Callithrix jacchus: one gene and its partners. The protein of the gene in region 1 purifies or fractionates together with the protein of each later gene. This does not show direct contact. Links are inferred from orthologs where the notes say so. Each region holds a gene or a part of one and is shown in the gene's direction. Other genes may lie near its edges. The genes, in order: KAT5, MAX, EPC2 and ACTL6A.

Evidence for each region.
Region 2: the proteins of KAT5 (region 1) and MAX purify together in Homo sapiens (affinity purification with mass spectrometry; 3 studies listed by BioGRID and IntAct, with this or other methods). This does not show direct contact. The link is inferred for Callithrix jacchus from reciprocal best matches to the Homo sapiens genes KAT5 and MAX.
Region 3: the proteins of KAT5 (region 1) and EPC2 purify together in Homo sapiens (affinity purification with mass spectrometry; 3 studies listed by BioGRID and IntAct, counting the BioPlex papers as one, with this or other methods). This does not show direct contact. The link is inferred for Callithrix jacchus from reciprocal best matches to the Homo sapiens genes KAT5 and EPC2.
Region 4: the proteins of KAT5 (region 1) and ACTL6A purify together in Homo sapiens (affinity purification with mass spectrometry; 6 studies listed by BioGRID and IntAct, with this or other methods). This does not show direct contact. The link is inferred for Callithrix jacchus from reciprocal best matches to the Homo sapiens genes KAT5 and ACTL6A.

Annotation. Positions count from the first base shown.
Region 1 is NC_133511.1:122,803,507-122,807,781, forward strand, and holds the start of KAT5 (histone acetyltransferase KAT5), read left to right. Parts: upstream 1-1,386; 5' UTR 1,387-1,405; coding exon 1,406-1,583; intron 1,584-1,910; coding exon 1,911-1,979; intron 1,980-2,068; coding exon 2,069-2,205; intron 2,206-2,469; coding exon 2,470-2,652; intron 2,653-2,741; coding exon 2,742-2,816; intron 2,817-2,925; coding exon 2,926-3,000; intron 3,001-3,956; coding exon 3,957-4,205; intron 4,206-4,275. UniProt on the Homo sapiens protein: Catalytic subunit of the NuA4 histone acetyltransferase complex, a multiprotein complex involved in transcriptional activation of select genes principally by acetylation of nucleosomal histones H2A and H4.
Region 2 is NC_133509.1:99,770,527-99,775,122, reverse strand, and holds the start of MAX (protein max), read left to right. Parts: upstream 1-1,684; 5' UTR 1,685-1,866; coding exon 1,867-1,902; exon of another isoform or gene 1,903-2,099; intron 2,100-2,631; coding exon 2,632-2,658; intron 2,659-4,596. UniProt on the Homo sapiens protein: Transcription regulator. Forms a sequence-specific DNA-binding protein complex with MYC or MAD which recognizes the core sequence 5'-CAC[GA]TG-3'. The MYC:MAX complex is a transcriptional activator, whereas the MAD:MAX complex is a repressor.
Region 3 is NC_133507.1:81,635,161-81,638,958, reverse strand, and holds part of EPC2 (enhancer of polycomb homolog 2), read left to right. Parts: intron 1-536; coding exon 537-728; intron 729-3,798. UniProt on the Homo sapiens protein: May play a role in transcription or DNA repair.
Region 4 is NC_133516.1:7,809,581-7,813,378, forward strand, and holds part of ACTL6A (actin-like protein 6A), read left to right. Parts: intron 1-996; coding exon 997-1,058; intron 1,059-1,257; coding exon 1,258-1,372; intron 1,373-1,517; coding exon 1,518-1,598; intron 1,599-3,798.

The DNA of each region.
Region 1 (4,275 bases):
CTGCCTCCCGAGTAGCTGGGAACATAGGCAAGGGCCACTGCTACACCTGGCTAACTGAACATTTGTCTTGCTCTGTGGCTGAGGCTTGTCTGTAATTCCTGGGGTCAAGCAATCCTCCCGCCTCTGCCCCAAAGTGTTGGGATCACAGGCGTGAGCCACTGCACCAGACCTGAAGTCTTCATTTTGTTCACTGATGTATTCCAGGCTCTAGAATAGTGTCTGACACATGTTTTGGGTCCCTAAATATTTTTTGAATGTATGATGAGTATCACACATACTATCTTTATAATTATAAACCTAATATACAAAACAACGGCCGGGGCCGGGGCCCTAGAACTTTGGGAGGCTGAGGTGGGTAGCCTGCTTGAGCTCAGAAGTTTGAGACCAGCCTGGGCAGCATCTTTTTCTTTTTTTTGAGAAAGGGTCTCACTCTGTCACCCAGACTGGAGTGCAATGGCAGGATCTTGGCTCACTGCAACCTCTGCCTCCTGGGTTCAAGACATTCTCTTGCCTCAGCCTCCTGAGTAGCTGGGATAACTGGAGGACACCACCATATCCAGCTAACTTTTACATTTTTAGTAGAGATGGGGTTTTACCATGTTGGCCAGGCTGGTCTTGAACTCCTGACCTCAAGTAATCCCAGAATTTTGGGAGGCTAAGGCGGGCAGATCACGAGGTCAAAGGATTGAGAGCATCTTGGCCAACATGGAGAAACCCCGTCTCTACTAAAAATACAAAAATTAGTTGGGCATGGTGGTCCGCGCCTTTTGTCCCAACTACAGGGGAGGCTGAGGCAGGAAAATCGCTTGAACCCAGGGGGCAGAGGTTGCAGTGAGCCGACATCGCGCCACTGCTGCAGAGCGAGACTCCGTCTCAAAAAAAAAAAAAGCGTAGTATACAAAATAAAGCTAGGAATATTCCCTGAATCCTCCTGCCTATGGAATGAAGTCCACAGACTTGGAAGAGCGTTGAAGCCCCTCTAAAGCCACTCCCTTCCTCCAGCCTCTCGGCCCGTAGCTCAGCACTAGCAGTTCACTCCCGGCGATACCTCCCGCCGCCACGAGGAGACGCCCCAGCACCGCCCTCTGTCAAAGCCCAAACAATATTGCCACGTGACCCGCTCCGCATCCACGTGACCAGCGTCGCACGCGGTGGGCGTCAGGTGACGGGCTCAGTAGTTCTCCAATCGCTGTGCACGTTGTGGGGTTTCCACTTAGGGCTCGGTCTGAGGCTTGTAACACCACATTCTCCCCCAAGCCACAGGGGCAGTCTTGCCGCTGGCAGCTGGGTGGCGGTGTCTCTCAAAGGTCCTCTATAGGGGCTTCGTGAGGCCCAAGCCTACAGCACTCAGTTCCGGAAGTGACGTCTCCCAGAGGGGCCGGAAGTGGCAGTGGAGGGAGGGAAGATGGCGGAGGTGGTGAGTCCGGTGCCTGGGGCGGGGCGGAGGGAGCCAGGGGAGGTGGGTAGAGCCCGAGGCCCCCCAGTAGCCGACCCTGGCGCCGCGCTGTCTCCCCAGGGGGAGATAATCGAGGGCTGCCGCCTACCCGTGCTGCGGCGGAACCAGGACAACGAAGATGAGTGGCGTGAGTGACGTCGGGGGGCGGGGCTAAGGAACCTGAGGGCGAGGGGCGGGAGGGAGTCCACTGAACCCCCGGGATGGGGAGGGGCCTCTGGAATTATGGGGCGGGCGGGGCTCAGACACTCCGATGAAGGGGCGTGGCTCTTAGCTGCTATGAGAGGTACAGGGCGGGGTCTGGAAAGGGGTGGCACTTGTGACTGAAGGAGGCTTGGATGAGACCTTCCAAGTGCTGCAGCTTAGGGATCCGGCCTGGGGGTGGAGTTCAGGTCGTGGAAGGGTGGAGTCTCATGGCCTGGCCCGTCTAAGGTCCCTGCCTATGCTGTTCCCATAGCACTGGCCGAGATCCTGAGTGTGAAGGACATCAGTGGCCGGAAGCTTTTCTACGTCCATTACATTGATTGTGAGTTCTGGGCCTAAGGTGGGGCAGCAGGGTAGGGGGTTGGGGGGCAGTCTTTGGCATTCCTTCCTGAGCCATCCCCACTGCTACAGTCAACAAACGTCTGGATGAATGGGTGACGCACGAGCGGCTGGACCTAAAGAAGATCCAGTTCCCCAAGAAAGAGGCCAAGACCCCCACCAAGAACGGACTTCCTGGGTCCCGTCCCGGCTCTCCAGAGAGAGAGGTGGTGAGTAGGTCCCCCACTTCACCTCATCTCTCCTGCCTCCTATTTCTCTTATCTGTTGGCATTTAGGGGCTCCTGGATGGGCAGGAGGCGGCATCCTCTTACCCTGACTTCAGCTTGCAAAAGATGGGGGCCAAATTGCACATGTAGCTCCCAGAGTCCAGTAGTTAGTCCTGTGTCCTTCAGAAGGCAGAGGGTGGGGTTTGATAATTTTAAGCTGAGGGGCCCCTCTTCCCCTTCCCCATCCCACTGCCATCCCCGCCCCAGAGGAAGACCCTGGACCTATCTCTACAGCCGGCCTCGGCCCAGGCCAGCGGGAAGACCTTGCCAATCCCGGTCCAGATCACACTCCGCTTCAACCTGCCCAAGGAGCGGGAGGCCATTCCCGGTGGCGAGCCTGACCAGCCGCTCTCCTCCAGCTCCTGCCTGCAGCCCAACCACCGCTCAACGGTACCCTCAGCAATTCCAGGGACCTTGCTTTCTTCTCAGGTCCCACCTTCTCTACCCTCTGACCCACCTTTGTTGGTTTCTCTCTGCAGAAACGGAAGGTGGAGGTGGTTTCACCAGCAACTCCAGTGCCCAGTGAGACAGCCCCAGCTTCGGTTTTTCCCCAGGTGAGTTCCCCAAACCATTTCTTGTTCCTTTCCTCTCTTCTGCCCTCTGGTGGCCCTTTTCAAGCTCATCTCACAGTCATCCCTTCTTTTCCTGGTATCTCATCTGCAGAATGGAGCAGCACGTAGGGCAGTGGCAGCCCAGCCAGGACGGAAGCGAAAATCAAATTGTCTGGGCACTGATGAGGTGGGTCTGGGGAGCAGCAGAAGGGAGCTGCGTGAAAAGGAAGGGATGCAGGCAGGGTGGAGAGTTATTTAGTGATGAGTATAAAAATGAAGGGGTGGTGGACCTGGGCAGGGCTAGTGTTGGTAGGATTAGGAGCCAGGCAGAACATGGTTCAAATGAATCATTGGGGCTGGGCACCATGGTGCACACCTGTAATCCCAGCACTTTGGGAGGCCAAGGTGGGTGGATCACCTGAGGTCAGGAGTTTGAGACCAGCCTGGCCAACATGGCAAAACCTCATCTCTACTAAAAATAAAAAAATTGGTTGGGCACAGTGGCTGACACCTGTAATCCCAGCTCTTTGAGAGGCCAAGGTGGGTGGGTCATGAGGTCAAGAGATTGAGACCACCCTGTCCAACATGGTAGTGAAACATGGTGAAACCCCATCTCTACTAAAAGTAAAAAATCAGCTGGGCCTGGTGGCGCACGCCTGTAATCCCAGCTACTTGGGAGGCCGAGGCAGGAGAAACGTTTGAACCCCGGAGGTGGAGGTTGCAGTGAGCTGAGATTACACCACTGGTACTCCAGCCTGGGAAAAAAGTGAGCCTTTGTCTCAAAAAAAAAAAAAAATTAGCCAGACATAGTGGCAGGCACCCGTAATCCCAGCTACTCCGGAGGCTGAGGCCAGAGAATCTCTTGAAGCCCGGAGGTGAAGGTTGCAGCAAGCCAAGATTGCACCACTGCACCTCATCCTGGGCGACAGAGTGAGACTCCATCTCCAAAATGATCATTGGGTGATGTTTTCCACATCATCAGTCCCTTAGGGTTTCAGGTTTTACGTCTGGAAATTGGGGGTCATGGTACCTTCCCTATAGGGTTGCTGTTAGGCTTGAAGGAAACCTGTTGAGGGGGTGTGAGCTGTGGTGTCCTGCTGAGCTGTCTCGTCTAACCTGGTGTCTTCTACTCGCCCTGGGCAGGACTCCCAGGACAGCTCAGATGGAATACCATCGGCACCACGCATGACTGGCAGCCTGGTGTCTGACCGGAGCCACGACGACATCGTCACCCGGATGAAGAACATTGAGTGTATCGAGCTGGGCCGGCACCGCCTCAAGCCGTGGTACTTCTCCCCGTACCCACAGGAGCTCACTACATTGCCTGTCCTCTACCTGTGCGAGTTCTGCCTCAAGTACGGCCGTAGCCTCAAGTGTCTTCAGCGTCACTTGGTATGAGGGGTACAGGGAGGCTGCCTTCCCAGCACTGTCCACCTTGCCCTCGTCCCTGATCCTCCTCTCT
Region 2 (4,596 bases), on another chromosome or scaffold:
AGCCACTGCACTCCAGCCTGGGCGACAGAGCATGACTTTGCCCCCTGCAAAAAGAAAAAAAAAAAAAAAAATCCTTTAGTCTGGATCTCACCTCCAGAGGTTCTGGCTTAAATGGTTTGGGGTGTGGCCTGGGAATGGGAATTTTTTAAAGCCCCTAGGGTGATTTTAACTTGGAGCCGGGATTGTCCTAGAATGCTCTGTACATAGCAGGCACTCAACAACGGTTTCTTGTAATAATCAATTAGCTTTAACTTCTAGTATCCAGTTAATTAACTCACTCAAGAGTGGCCGTCTGTCATCAGCCCTTATCACATAATGGTCTGCTTATGTCTGTCTCCCCAACTCAGCAGGAAAGGAACACGTAGAAAAGGTAAGTTCAAAAGGAATGTATGTCCCAAGAATTGTGTGCGACATATCCCCAAATTTCCACATTCAAAAGTCAGGGATAATATAATTTTCATCCGGGAATCAGTAACTCATGGAAAAGCTCAAAATGTCATTCATTTTGGAGATCAGATGTAAAGGAGTAGTACGGGTACTTTGTCTCAGGGTGGAAAGTGTCTTTTTTTTTTTTTCTTCCCATGGGACTTGTTGCACTCCTAAAATGGCGGCAGGGCAGTCAGGTTTGCTTGCATAGCTGTGAACCACACTAAGGCAGGGATCGTTCTGGTCTTATCCGTTATGGCATCCCCTTGTGGCACATGTTAGGTGTTCAATAAATATTGGTGGAATGGATGTGACTACATTTTACTCCACAGTATGTAAATATGATTTTAACTGGACAGGGAGCTGCACAAGTTTCCCATATTGATCCTTTTTGCAATCTTAATTATGGTACTTGAGCTGGGATATTGCCTAAACTGCCTGGGCTACACAACAAACTCTGAAGGGGTTTTACTTCCAAGTCCACGGTGGTTGAGGGTTCGGGTTCTGTGAATGCTGGAAGCTCACGTGAGTAGCGGAGTGTCGAGGATGGTCACTCTCGGATAAATGAATACAGGATTCTTGCGGCTATGAGCGGTCGCCCGGCGAGGTCGGTCATCCTGCCTGTCCGGTAACTCCACGAAACACCTGCCACTGACACCTCCTCACCAGCTCCCGAGGGTTCGCGCGGGTATCCGGAGCCGTGCCCCCTGGTCCGCCGCAGCCGGATTCCCTCCTGGGCGGGTTACGCCCCAAGACGCAAAGCGAAACCACTCCACATCAAGACTGCAAAGTAAAACCGGTCGCACCAAAGACAGGCAGCGTTATTTAGACAGTCAGCTACTCCCCTAGAGCTTCCACCCAGTCCCCTGGGCCCGGCGCCCAGCGCGCAGACGGTGGCCGGCTCCAGGAGCTCCAGCTCCCTCCACGTGTCCTGTCTTCCCAGCAGCCTCCTCTGCAACCTCGGGAGGAAAACCTCCTGACAACTCGCGGTCTGCGGACTACGACTCCCAGGAGGCACCGCGCCGCGGCTCTCTCCGCCCCGCCCTCTCCCGGATACGCAGGCGCCTTGGGCTCCGTCAACAAGCGGGGCTGGCGTCGCCTGGATTTAGTTTCTTCTGGGATTTGTAGTTTTTCTGGAGCTACCCGGGCCGACCGTCAGAGGGACAAGAACTACAAGTCTCGGCGGCCCCAGCGCTACGAGCCCGATCACGTGGTGAGGGCCGACCGGGCGTGCGTGCCGCCGTTGATCCGGTGCTGCAGTGAGGAGGTGGTTCTCGCCCGTGTTGTGTGTGTGTGTGTGTGAGTGAGAGAGCGAGTGAGTGAGTGAGTGAGTGTGTGTGTGGGGGGGACTCAGCTTGTTGTTGTCGGTGACTTCCCCCTCCCCTCCACCCCTTCCCCTCCCCGCCGCCGCTGCAGTGGCCGCTTCCTGGGCCGTAGGAAATGAGCGATAACGATGACATCGAGGTGGAGAGCGACGTGAGTCCTGGGGCTTCTTCCTTCCAGTGCGGGTTGTCAGGCGGGGACAGCGGCCGGGGCTCTCAGCGGGGCGACGGCGGGAGGGGACCGGGCCGCCGCCGCATCCTTCCCCTTCCCCTTGGGGCCAGGACTGTCTGCGTCGCGTTCCCGGTTCGCTCCGCTCCGGCTCCTGGCTGGAGCGGCCTCCTGGGACTGAGGTGGGGGAAAGACACGCGGCCTCTGGGACCCCTCCCTTCTCCGGCGAGGGAGGGTGCTGCGGCCTCCCCCTCCCATTTTCCCCCGGTCAGGATTCGGGGGACAAAGATGGGGGGCGCCTGGGATCCCATTGTCCGGATCCAGGCGAAGGGGACTGTGCTCAGGAACTGCCCCTTCGGATCGCGATTCTCTCCTCCCATGACCCGCGGATCCTGGGGGGCGAGGAAGGGCGGAGAGGGGTTGAGGGTGCCTAGATGCCCGAGCTGGGTCTGCAGGGAAGAGACAGTGCTCGGGACCCCTCTGGCCCCGGTCGGATCCCGGAAGGAGGGGCGGCGCTCGGGACCCCTCTACCTTGCTACCGGATCCCGCTGAGGGTGGAAGGGTGGGGGCAAGGGGTGGGGAGGGAGGAAGGGGTGTCGGGCTGACTCCCCACCCGCCGCTTCCTCTGCCGCCGGCATTTTCTTTCTTATTACTGAATGTTAAGTGTAAAAATAACTTCTATATTTTCTATTTTTTTTTTCTCTCTTATTCCAGGAAGAGCAACCGAGGTTTCAATCTGCGGTACGTCTCCTACTCTCCATTTCATTTTTATTTCCGTTCAGTTCTATTCTTTTTGGGGTCAGAGAGAAAAAGAGATCGTTCTATTACTTTTAATATGGTAGTAAACCCTAATGTTAACCATTAAGGTGAGGCGGGGCCTGGTTCTGGAGGGCGGGGGTGTTGCAGATCCCATAATTCTAGATGCTCAGGTGATAAGTTCAGTGACTCTAGGTGACTGAGAGGAGCTGTATGCAAAGAATTGAATTGTTCTGTAGTTTTCAGATAGGGGATTCAGCTGCCACTATATAAGTGGAAATGAGAAATGCAGCATTTTGAAGTCGTTGGTAGTATTACTTAAGGGCAAAGTGGTTAGAAGATTTACTTAGGACCAGGTAGGTTTTAAACCATATCTGCATAATTGTGTGAAGCTGAAGCCACATGTAATAATCGCCTTTAACCAAGTCATGTGACTGCTGTAGACCCGTAGAATCTAGCACAACATGGTATTTTAGTGCAAAAATTGGAAATGTAGAAGAGCCAAAGGTTGCATCATGAGAGTGTCACATACGGTTGTTATGGTCTGACTCTGTATTTGAAGAAGAGGTATAAAGAAAACTAAAAAATAGTTGAAGAAAAGTGGCACTGCAGAGACAGCTTTGCTGAAAGGTGATGAAACCATGCAATTTTATCAATAATTTCTTAGGGTTTTGATATTAATGTTCTCAGTAGATGGTTCTGTGGATTTAGATAAGACTAATTTCATGTCTTTGGAGTCTGAGACAGTAATAAGGGTGTTTCATGAATAGATTAGAGGGAAAAAATAATACACATAGAATAAATCAGAATCAGAGAGGGGAAGAGAAGTGTATCAGAGTGTCTAAAATTTGACAGTTGGGAACAGTAAGAAGTGTATAGAATAGGGGTTAAAAAATTCTAATGCTCATGGGGGGCTGTCAAGAGTAAAGAAGAGGGAAGAGGTGAAGACTTGGGGTACTGGAGGGCAATGCCTCCTCTAAAAAGTCAGCCACTACTAAATTCCAGTGGTTTGTTATGTAGGAGTGCAGGATCAGTATTGCCAGATCTTCCTGTTTTTAAGAAAGATGGCCAGGCATGGTGGCTCACACCTGTAATCCCAGCGCTTTGGGAGGCAAAGGTGGGAGGATCACCTGAAGTCAGGAGTCCAAGACCATCCTGGTGAACATGGTGAAACCCCTGTCTCTACTAAAAATACAAAAAATTAGCCAGGCATGGTGGCAGGTGCCTGTAATCTCAGCTACTCTGGATGCTGAGGCAGGAGAGTTGCTTGAACCCAGGAGGCAAAGGTGACAATGAGCCATTACACTCTAGCCTGGGAGACAGAGCAAGACCCCATCTCAAAAAAAAAAAAGAAATCCAAACTTTATATGTTCATTTTTCTGATTTTTAATATGTGTGGAACAACTCTTTGGGGGCTTGTTAGAATTTGCAGGATCTTACTTTGATGCCTCTGGTATAAGAACTTAATAACCACACGATAAAGGCAGGCCATCTCGGTTGTACCTGCTCTTCATTAGAGCAAGCAAAGATTGTACAGTTTGTCTAAGCAGATGGGTATTAAGAAAACTTATTTATTGAGAGCTGATATTTCCATAAGATCCGAGGATGTAGTTGTTCCAGAAGTCTTAAAAATTATCCCTGGATAATAGTCATTAAGAATAATTTGTTTTGTTTTATTTATCTTTGAAGTATTCTCATATACATATATTTGAAAATCGAATTCCTTTTTTTAATTTACTTTTACTCTTCATGTTTGGGGCCTAGTCTTTTTAAAACTTTTTTTTTTTTTTCCCCTGCAAGTCTCCAGTTGTAAAATCTGCCAGGGCTTAATCAGGGTTGGAGGGTAAGGATCGTTTAGGCCTCCTTTGCAGAATTATCCTTTGAATTGAAATTATATTGACTTCCCAGTAAGAGAAAAGGGTT
Region 3 (3,798 bases), on another chromosome or scaffold:
AACTTCAGAACAGTTATTGTTCAGTTGCTGCAGTAATTATACATTCTAAAAAGTGAGGGCTTTTTTCCTAGTTAAGCTTGTTTTTCTCAAAAGGTTGCCATCCATAGAACAGACGTTTTAAAAAATTGGAACTAAGTGTAAAAATAACTTAATAAAGTCATGGTCCAATTGAAGATTTTTAAAAATAAAAATAGTTGTTAATTTTGTCAATATAGTAGATTTAAATAAGAATTGAATTTAAATACCTTTTAAATACTGGATTACATAATAGAGCAATCCAAAAAATCACTCACATCTTACTTTTAAGAAGTAATAGTATTAAAAGCAAATTTAAATACATAATTATTTTTCATCATAAGTTGCAGAAAGTAAAACATGTTTCAGTTTATGAACACAGAATAATTTTTGCTTATTAAAAAACATTAAATCACCTCCTGGGTAAAAATATATGTTTTTCAAAGGGCAGTATAGTTTTTCGTAATTTCTAAAATTATTTTTATTTCTTCCTTTTGGGGGAAAAATCGTCATGTAAACAGCACCCTCATCATTTGTCTTTGAAAGAAGAGGCTTCTGATGTGGTTCGTCAAAAGAAGAAGTACCCAAAGAAGCCTAAAGCAGAGGCTTTGATAACATCTCAGCAACCCACTCCTGAGACATTGCCTGTGATCAATAAGAGTGACATTAAGCAATATGACTTTCACAGCTCAGATGAAGATGAATTTCCACAGGTGCTTGTTTTAAAACTATTTTAAAGACATTTGCTCCTAGTCTTTTATATTGCTATATTTTTAAAACAATTGCCATCTTAGTGTTTTTATTCTTGCTTTGTTCCCCTAATATATATAGCATAAACATTTCCACATTATTTATGTAGCCACTGAAATGGTATTTACTCTGTATTATTTTTCATCAGTTGTATAGAATTTACTCTCTCCTGATCACATGGTTTTCAGTTTTTCCTTTTATAAAAATGAATGTAGATCTTGTCCCTCTGTATTTAGAATAGATTTTTGGAAATGGAATTACTAGTTACTAACTGAAAATTATCAATATTTTAAGGCAGTTAATATATAATTGTAAATATTGAAAATATCAGTAATGCTTTCCTTTTTACCATATTCCACCAGCATTGTGTTTTATAACTTTTAACGTAAATTTTGCTAATTTGTTAGGTAATGGCTATTTGATTCTAAAAGATTTAAGGGAACTGATTCCAGTTTTAACTCTTCGATAAATATTAAAAGTTTTGTAGAAAAATGTGTGCAATTAAAGAAAATCTTTATTTTTATTCCTTGTTTTAAAATAAGACTTTTACTTTATATATTAAAAGATAAATTTTTTCCAAAAAATATTATTTATCATCTGTTTTAGTGATACCCTCTTTTTAAAAATATAGTGTAGGAAACTTACAGAAAATACTGTAACAAAGACTTGAACCTACCACCAACTTTATCATATTTTAACTTTTGACTTGTTTGCTTTAAGGAAACTTTCTTTGAAAAAACCAACATTACAGATATGTTTGGAAAGCCAATTCTTCATTGCAATACCATTTCAGATCTGGAGTTTGCATAAAATGTGTCCCTTTGGGCTACATTCTATTATTTTTACTCTTTTTTTCCCGATTTAGTTTTTTTATTCAGATAATATTCTGATAGTCATATGCATAGTATTAAATGTGCAAAGATACATTTAATTTTATATTAAGTTCTTGAGGAAAACTTAATGAACCCATACATTACTTTTGTCAGAGGATCAACTAGTTTGACTCAGGCAGAGCTTTGACTAGCCATGGGACATTCACCAGATGACCATATGACCATTTTGAAGGAATGAGGGATATAGTGCCCTAGAAAATAGTAATTTTCCAGATAGCAAGTATAGGTTAGGGTTCTAGGCACAGCATATTAGAGGGAACTGCTAGCAGTTTAGCATTGCTGGAGCACAAAATATAGGAGGAAAAGGGGATGAAAGGCTTGATGCCTGCAGTAATAGCCAGATGGCAGATAGCCTCTATCTACATTATATATACTGGGAAATTATAATGTTAACTAAGAAAATGACATAGATAAATATATGTAGAATAGGCTTATATTGGTGGTACTAATGAGAGGCTAGAAAGTTTTGCTACATATTCCCATCCCTTTAAGAATGATGCTGTCGGCCAGACATTGTGACTCACGCCTGTAATCCCAGCACTTTGGGAAGCCAAAGCAGGTGGATTGCTTGCGCCCAGGAGTTGGAGACCAAGCCTGGGCAACATGGTGAAACCCCATCTCTACAAAAAGAAACAGAAGTACAAAAATTTAGCCAGGTGTGGTGATGCATGCCTCTAGTTCCCGCTACTCGGGAGGCTGAGGCAGGAAGATTGCTTGAGCCAGTGAGACAAAGGTTGCAGTGAACCAAGGTTACAGCACCATACTCCAGCCTGGGCAGCAGAGCAAGACCCTGCCTTAAAAAAAAAAAAAAAAAAAAAAAAGATACTGTAGGGTGCTGTGACCTATAGAAACTTTTCTCTTATTGGTGGAATTAGTACCTCCAGCCTGAAAGTAGAGCGGCATAACTAGTCATATGTTTCTCGTTCATTAAAGGATTTTCATTTCTCCTCCAAATTCTTACATTGATTTATATAGTTCCCAGTTCCCATCCCCACATGAAAATTGCCCTTTGAAACATTTAGGTTCTTTGAGTCTTTATATTAGATCTTAGACAACCCTCATTAATTTTATGGTATTTGCATATTGCTAAAGAGTAAATATTTACCTATATTTGGGCTTCATTCAGTGAGGCCCCTATTCAGAGTGTAACTCTTATAAAATCAGAATTTTATTGCTGACAAGATCATTAAAATAATCATACTTTTTCTCTGTCTAATAAACATGAACAAGGGAATAGGGCCTTAAGAGAACACACATTTTAACCAGACTTATGCTGTCAAATTGCAGCTGCATAGAACTAAAACCCTGCCTCTTGATCATGCTTCTGATTTTCCTAACATTAGCTTTGTCTTCCTATGACTCAGCCTTCGTTTGTCCTCTGGAATCTATCCCTAGGGAATGGTAGGAGAAAAAGGTGATAGATTTTATACACAGAATTTCTGAGACTTTGTGACACTTCCGTGTATATCTTAGAATTAGGGACATGATTTGCAAAGGAACCAAAGTGGAAAATTCACATTTGGGATTTCCTTTCAAATTTCAGGTTTGGGCTTCATTCCCCATGAAGAAGAGTCAGCCCCAGCTCACTGTTTCTGTGTCTCCCCCTAGGGTTGGTGGAGGTATATTGGAACCTCAAACAAATACCTTTCTCCCCTGGATGACCCTGCTCAGTGGTAATTACCACAGTTTGGAAATAATATGGAGAAAACATTTTTCCTCTCAAAATAGGAAGAGAGGGATTTGTGAGGTTCAGGAATTTGCGAGTAAATGTGGTTGAGCCAGCGTTTGTCAGAAAGAGATGTACTACAAAGCAAAAGTGCAAGACAACTGAAATTTAAATACCAAAACTTTTTTAAAAATTTTAACCGTTATGAGTGGAAATTTATCTAAAACATATTATTTCCCTGCCATTGGTATATCTGTATATTATTTAATTTGTTTTTATGACATTTATAATAAAGTGCCCTCTAATGGGTCAGTGCGACTGCCCTAGAGGTCCACTCAATTACATAGGGATATTTGGCCTGATATGACATGGTCTGGGCACAGTGCTTTCTAATAATGTGACAGCTTTCTGAAAGTCTTTATTCTTTTTCTTTAGGGTAGTTGGCTTATCACATCTTTGTAACCAATCTACTTA
Region 4 (3,798 bases), on another chromosome or scaffold:
GTTCAGTGCAGCCTCAAACACCTGGGCTCCTCCCGCCTCAGCCTCCTAAAGGACTACAGGTGCACGCCACCATGCCTGGCTAATTTTTTTATTTTTTATTTCTTTTATATTATTTTAATTTTATTTTTTTTGAGACAGAGTCTCACTCTTGCCCAGGCTGGAGTGCAGTAGTGCAATCTTGGCACACAGCAACCTCCGCCTCCTGGGTTCAAGTGATTCTCCTGCCTCAGCCTCCTGAGTAGCTAGGACTATTTAGTAGAGATGGGGTTTCACCGGTTAGCCAAGATGGTCTTGCTCTCCTGACCTCATGATCTGCCTGCCTTGGCCTCCCAAAGTGCTGGGATTACAGGTGTGAGCCACCCCTGTGTTGCCCAGGCTGGTCTTGAACTCCTGGCCTCAACTGATCCTCCTACCTTAGCCTCCCAAAGTGCTGAGATTTCAGGCATGAGCCACTGCACCCCACTCTATCTGACAGTTTTTGTACCTAAAAATGAAGATTTTTTTAATATGAGGAAAAATTAGGATGATTAGTCATTTTTTTCTAGATACTAAACAAGATTTTTCTAGAGGTCATATTAGTTCATAGCATTTTATTAAACTGTTTTATACACTGTACAGTCATTAAAAGTTGCATAAAATGTGATGTATATATGTTGCTTCTAATCTAGCTTATTTTTAAGGAGAAACTGGTCTTCTGAAGTTGGTTTTGTTATGCAGGACTGTGGTGCAGGGGTTCCCTGTTGTTTACCTCTTATGATTGTTTCATAACTGTCGTAACTTAAATGTGTGTAATTTAGCCTCTAATGCAAATGTTTAGCGTTGGGTTTCTTGATACTCAGAATCCTTGTGAGGTAGATTTATACTCTTGAAATTATTTACCCATACAGAAACAGGGTCCAGTTTTATTCCGAAAAGTATTTAAAATATGTTATAAAAGTGTAGATTAAAAAGATAAATCTCAACCTTGTTTTTTAAACTTTTTTCTTTTACTCATAGTGTGTTATCCAGGATTTTCAAGCTTCAGTACTTCAAGTGTCGGATTCAACTTATGATGAACAGTATGTTTTCTTATTTAAATTGTTACTTTATAAATAAGGAAAGGATTTGTTTAAAAAATATCATGGAACGTACTTAATTGAATAATGCTTAAAATATTCTCACTCCCATTATTTTAAAAGTTGATAATTCCCTAGTAGTTTATCATTTCGAAGAGAATTAATTTTGTCTTTTGTGTGATACTGTTTAATACGTTTTCAGAGTGGCTGCACAGATGCCAACTGTTCATTATGAATTCCCCAATGGCTACAATTGTGATTTTGGTGCAGAGCGGCTAAAAATTCCGGAAGGATTATTTGACCCTTCCAATGTAAAGGTATAAAAGCTTATTTCATAATGAGCCTGGCTTTTTCTATATGTGTAAGGAGTGTTTGTGATTATAAAATAAGACTAAAACGTTTTGGATGTGCTTTAACTGTTTGAAGTTCTTCCATGTGACTCTTTGTTTTCTTTTGTTGTAGGGGTTATCAGGAAACACAATGTTAGGAGTCAGTCACGTTGTCACCACAAGTGTTGGGATGTGTGATATTGATATCAGACCAGTAAGTGCCAGATCTTTTAGGGTACTGACGTGTCTCCAAGTCATTGTTAGGTTGTCAGTGTCATTGACTTTGAAGTTTGTTTTATAACAGTAGATATAAAAAGAGGAAGTACTGAAAAAGGAAAAGTCAAAACTCTAGAGCTATGGAGTCCGGACTGGTAGCTACCTGCCACATGTAGCAATTTAAATTAAATAAAAACTTAAAATTCAGCTCTTCAGTTATAGTAGCCTCATTATACATGTGGCTGGTGGCTGCTTCATCAGGCAGGGCAGATACAGAACATTTGTATCATCACAGAAAGTTCTTATAGAAGGTGCCACGCTGGAGATTTCCTGAAATGTGGCCAACCAAAATATGTATTATTGGTGATTTTCTTTTTTTTTCTTGAGACGGAGTTTCACTCTTGCTACCCATGCTGGAGTGCAATGGCATGATCTCGGCTCACCACAACCTCCGCCTTCTGGGTTCAGGCAGTTCTCCTGCCTCAGCCTCCTGAGTAGCTGGGATTACAGGCACGCACCACCATGCCCAGCTAAGTTTTTGTATTTTTAGTAGAGACGGGGTTTCACCATGTTGACCAGGATGGTCTCAATCTCTTGACCTCGTAATCCACCTGCCTCAGCCTCCCAAAGTGCTGGCATTACAGGCTTGAGCCACCGCGCCCGGCCCCTGGTGATTTTCTTAAAGATAGCACAACTTCTGCATTTCTTTTTCAGGAAGGTGTGTTTTAAATTATATGAGTAACTTTTACATGAAGTTCATATTAGATGATCTTCATATTTTTTTGTGCTTTGTCAGGTTTTAAATACTAGCCCCATGTTATATACTTCACTCATTATCAGTGATAGGACCTTGGAGACTGCAACTTTAAGTGAAATGATGTACAGTAGGTTCTTGAAGGACATTGTTTCAGGAAAAAAATTGGTTTTGTTACGTCGTTTTCCTGAAAGTCAGTTTCCAAGGACATATTGATGACATTAAGTGAGGACTGACGTCATCTTATTTAAACCCGATTCGATTAAGCTTATTGCTCGCAGACTGCCTGGATTTTGAGTAAATTAATTTGCTTAAAGCATAGAGTGCTAACAGCTACTATGTTGTTCAGAAAAGACTTGGAGTGGCTGTGAAAATCATACTTTATTTCACCGGAAACCTAGCAGGCATGTGATGTTTCAAGGACCAATAGGAGTGTCAGTTTGGGATTTTTTTTTTTAGCGCACATACAAGTCCACCTTTGGGGAAAGGTAATTGAAGTATATTTGTTGCAACAGTGGTAACTTTATTTTTAGTGAAATTTCTCCTTTTAACTAATGAGGTACTTTTTTATTCCATTTTCTACTTCAAAATTTAGATGATTTAGACATTTTGAATATGTTTTAAAAATAGGAATTTATCCACTAAAACAGGTTGACTTTTAACCTTCTGAAGCATACATGCAAATTCAAAGTAAATATATTTTGTATAAGTAGTAGTTTATTTTTATTTGGGGAAGCCTCACTTGTGTTTTAGAAAACTCCCATGTACTTCTGATGCATACCTCTGCAAAAGAGAAAGGTAGCAATCATTTTGGACAGGATTATGTTCAGAGTTCATCTTTGTCCATCATAATCATAAATTTTGAATATCCTAACTTCCAGATAAGCATTCTTTTTCAAAATATTTGTAATTTTAATTTTTGGCTGGTGGTTGGTATTAAATTTTCCAGATGAGCATTCTAAGATAAAGTTGTTATAAAATACACTTCTATTATTGGCAGCTATCTGCCAAAAAAATGATCATTTTTAGGACGATTCCTTTAAGTTAGCGGTTCTTAAAACTTTGTGCACATTAAACTAATCTTGGGAGTTAAAAAGCATGCCTGCCAGGCACAGTGGCATGTAGTCCCAGTTGCTTGGGAGCCTGAGACAGGAGGAGGATTGTTGGAAGCCGGGAGTTTGAGGCTGTGGTACGCTATGATAGTGCCTGTGAATAGCCACTGCATTCCAATGTAGGCAATATAGCGAGACCCCGTCTCTAAAAGTAATCTTGCCTGGATCCCATCCCCAGAAATTTTTATTTAATTGCCCCAGGAGTAAAAGCTCCTTAGATGAGTTAAATGTACAGCCAGGATGGCAGAATTGATAGATTAAGCTATTAAGTGTATATAATAGGAAAACATTTCAAAAAAAAAAAAAGAAAGGGAAAATTGTAGTAGAGAACA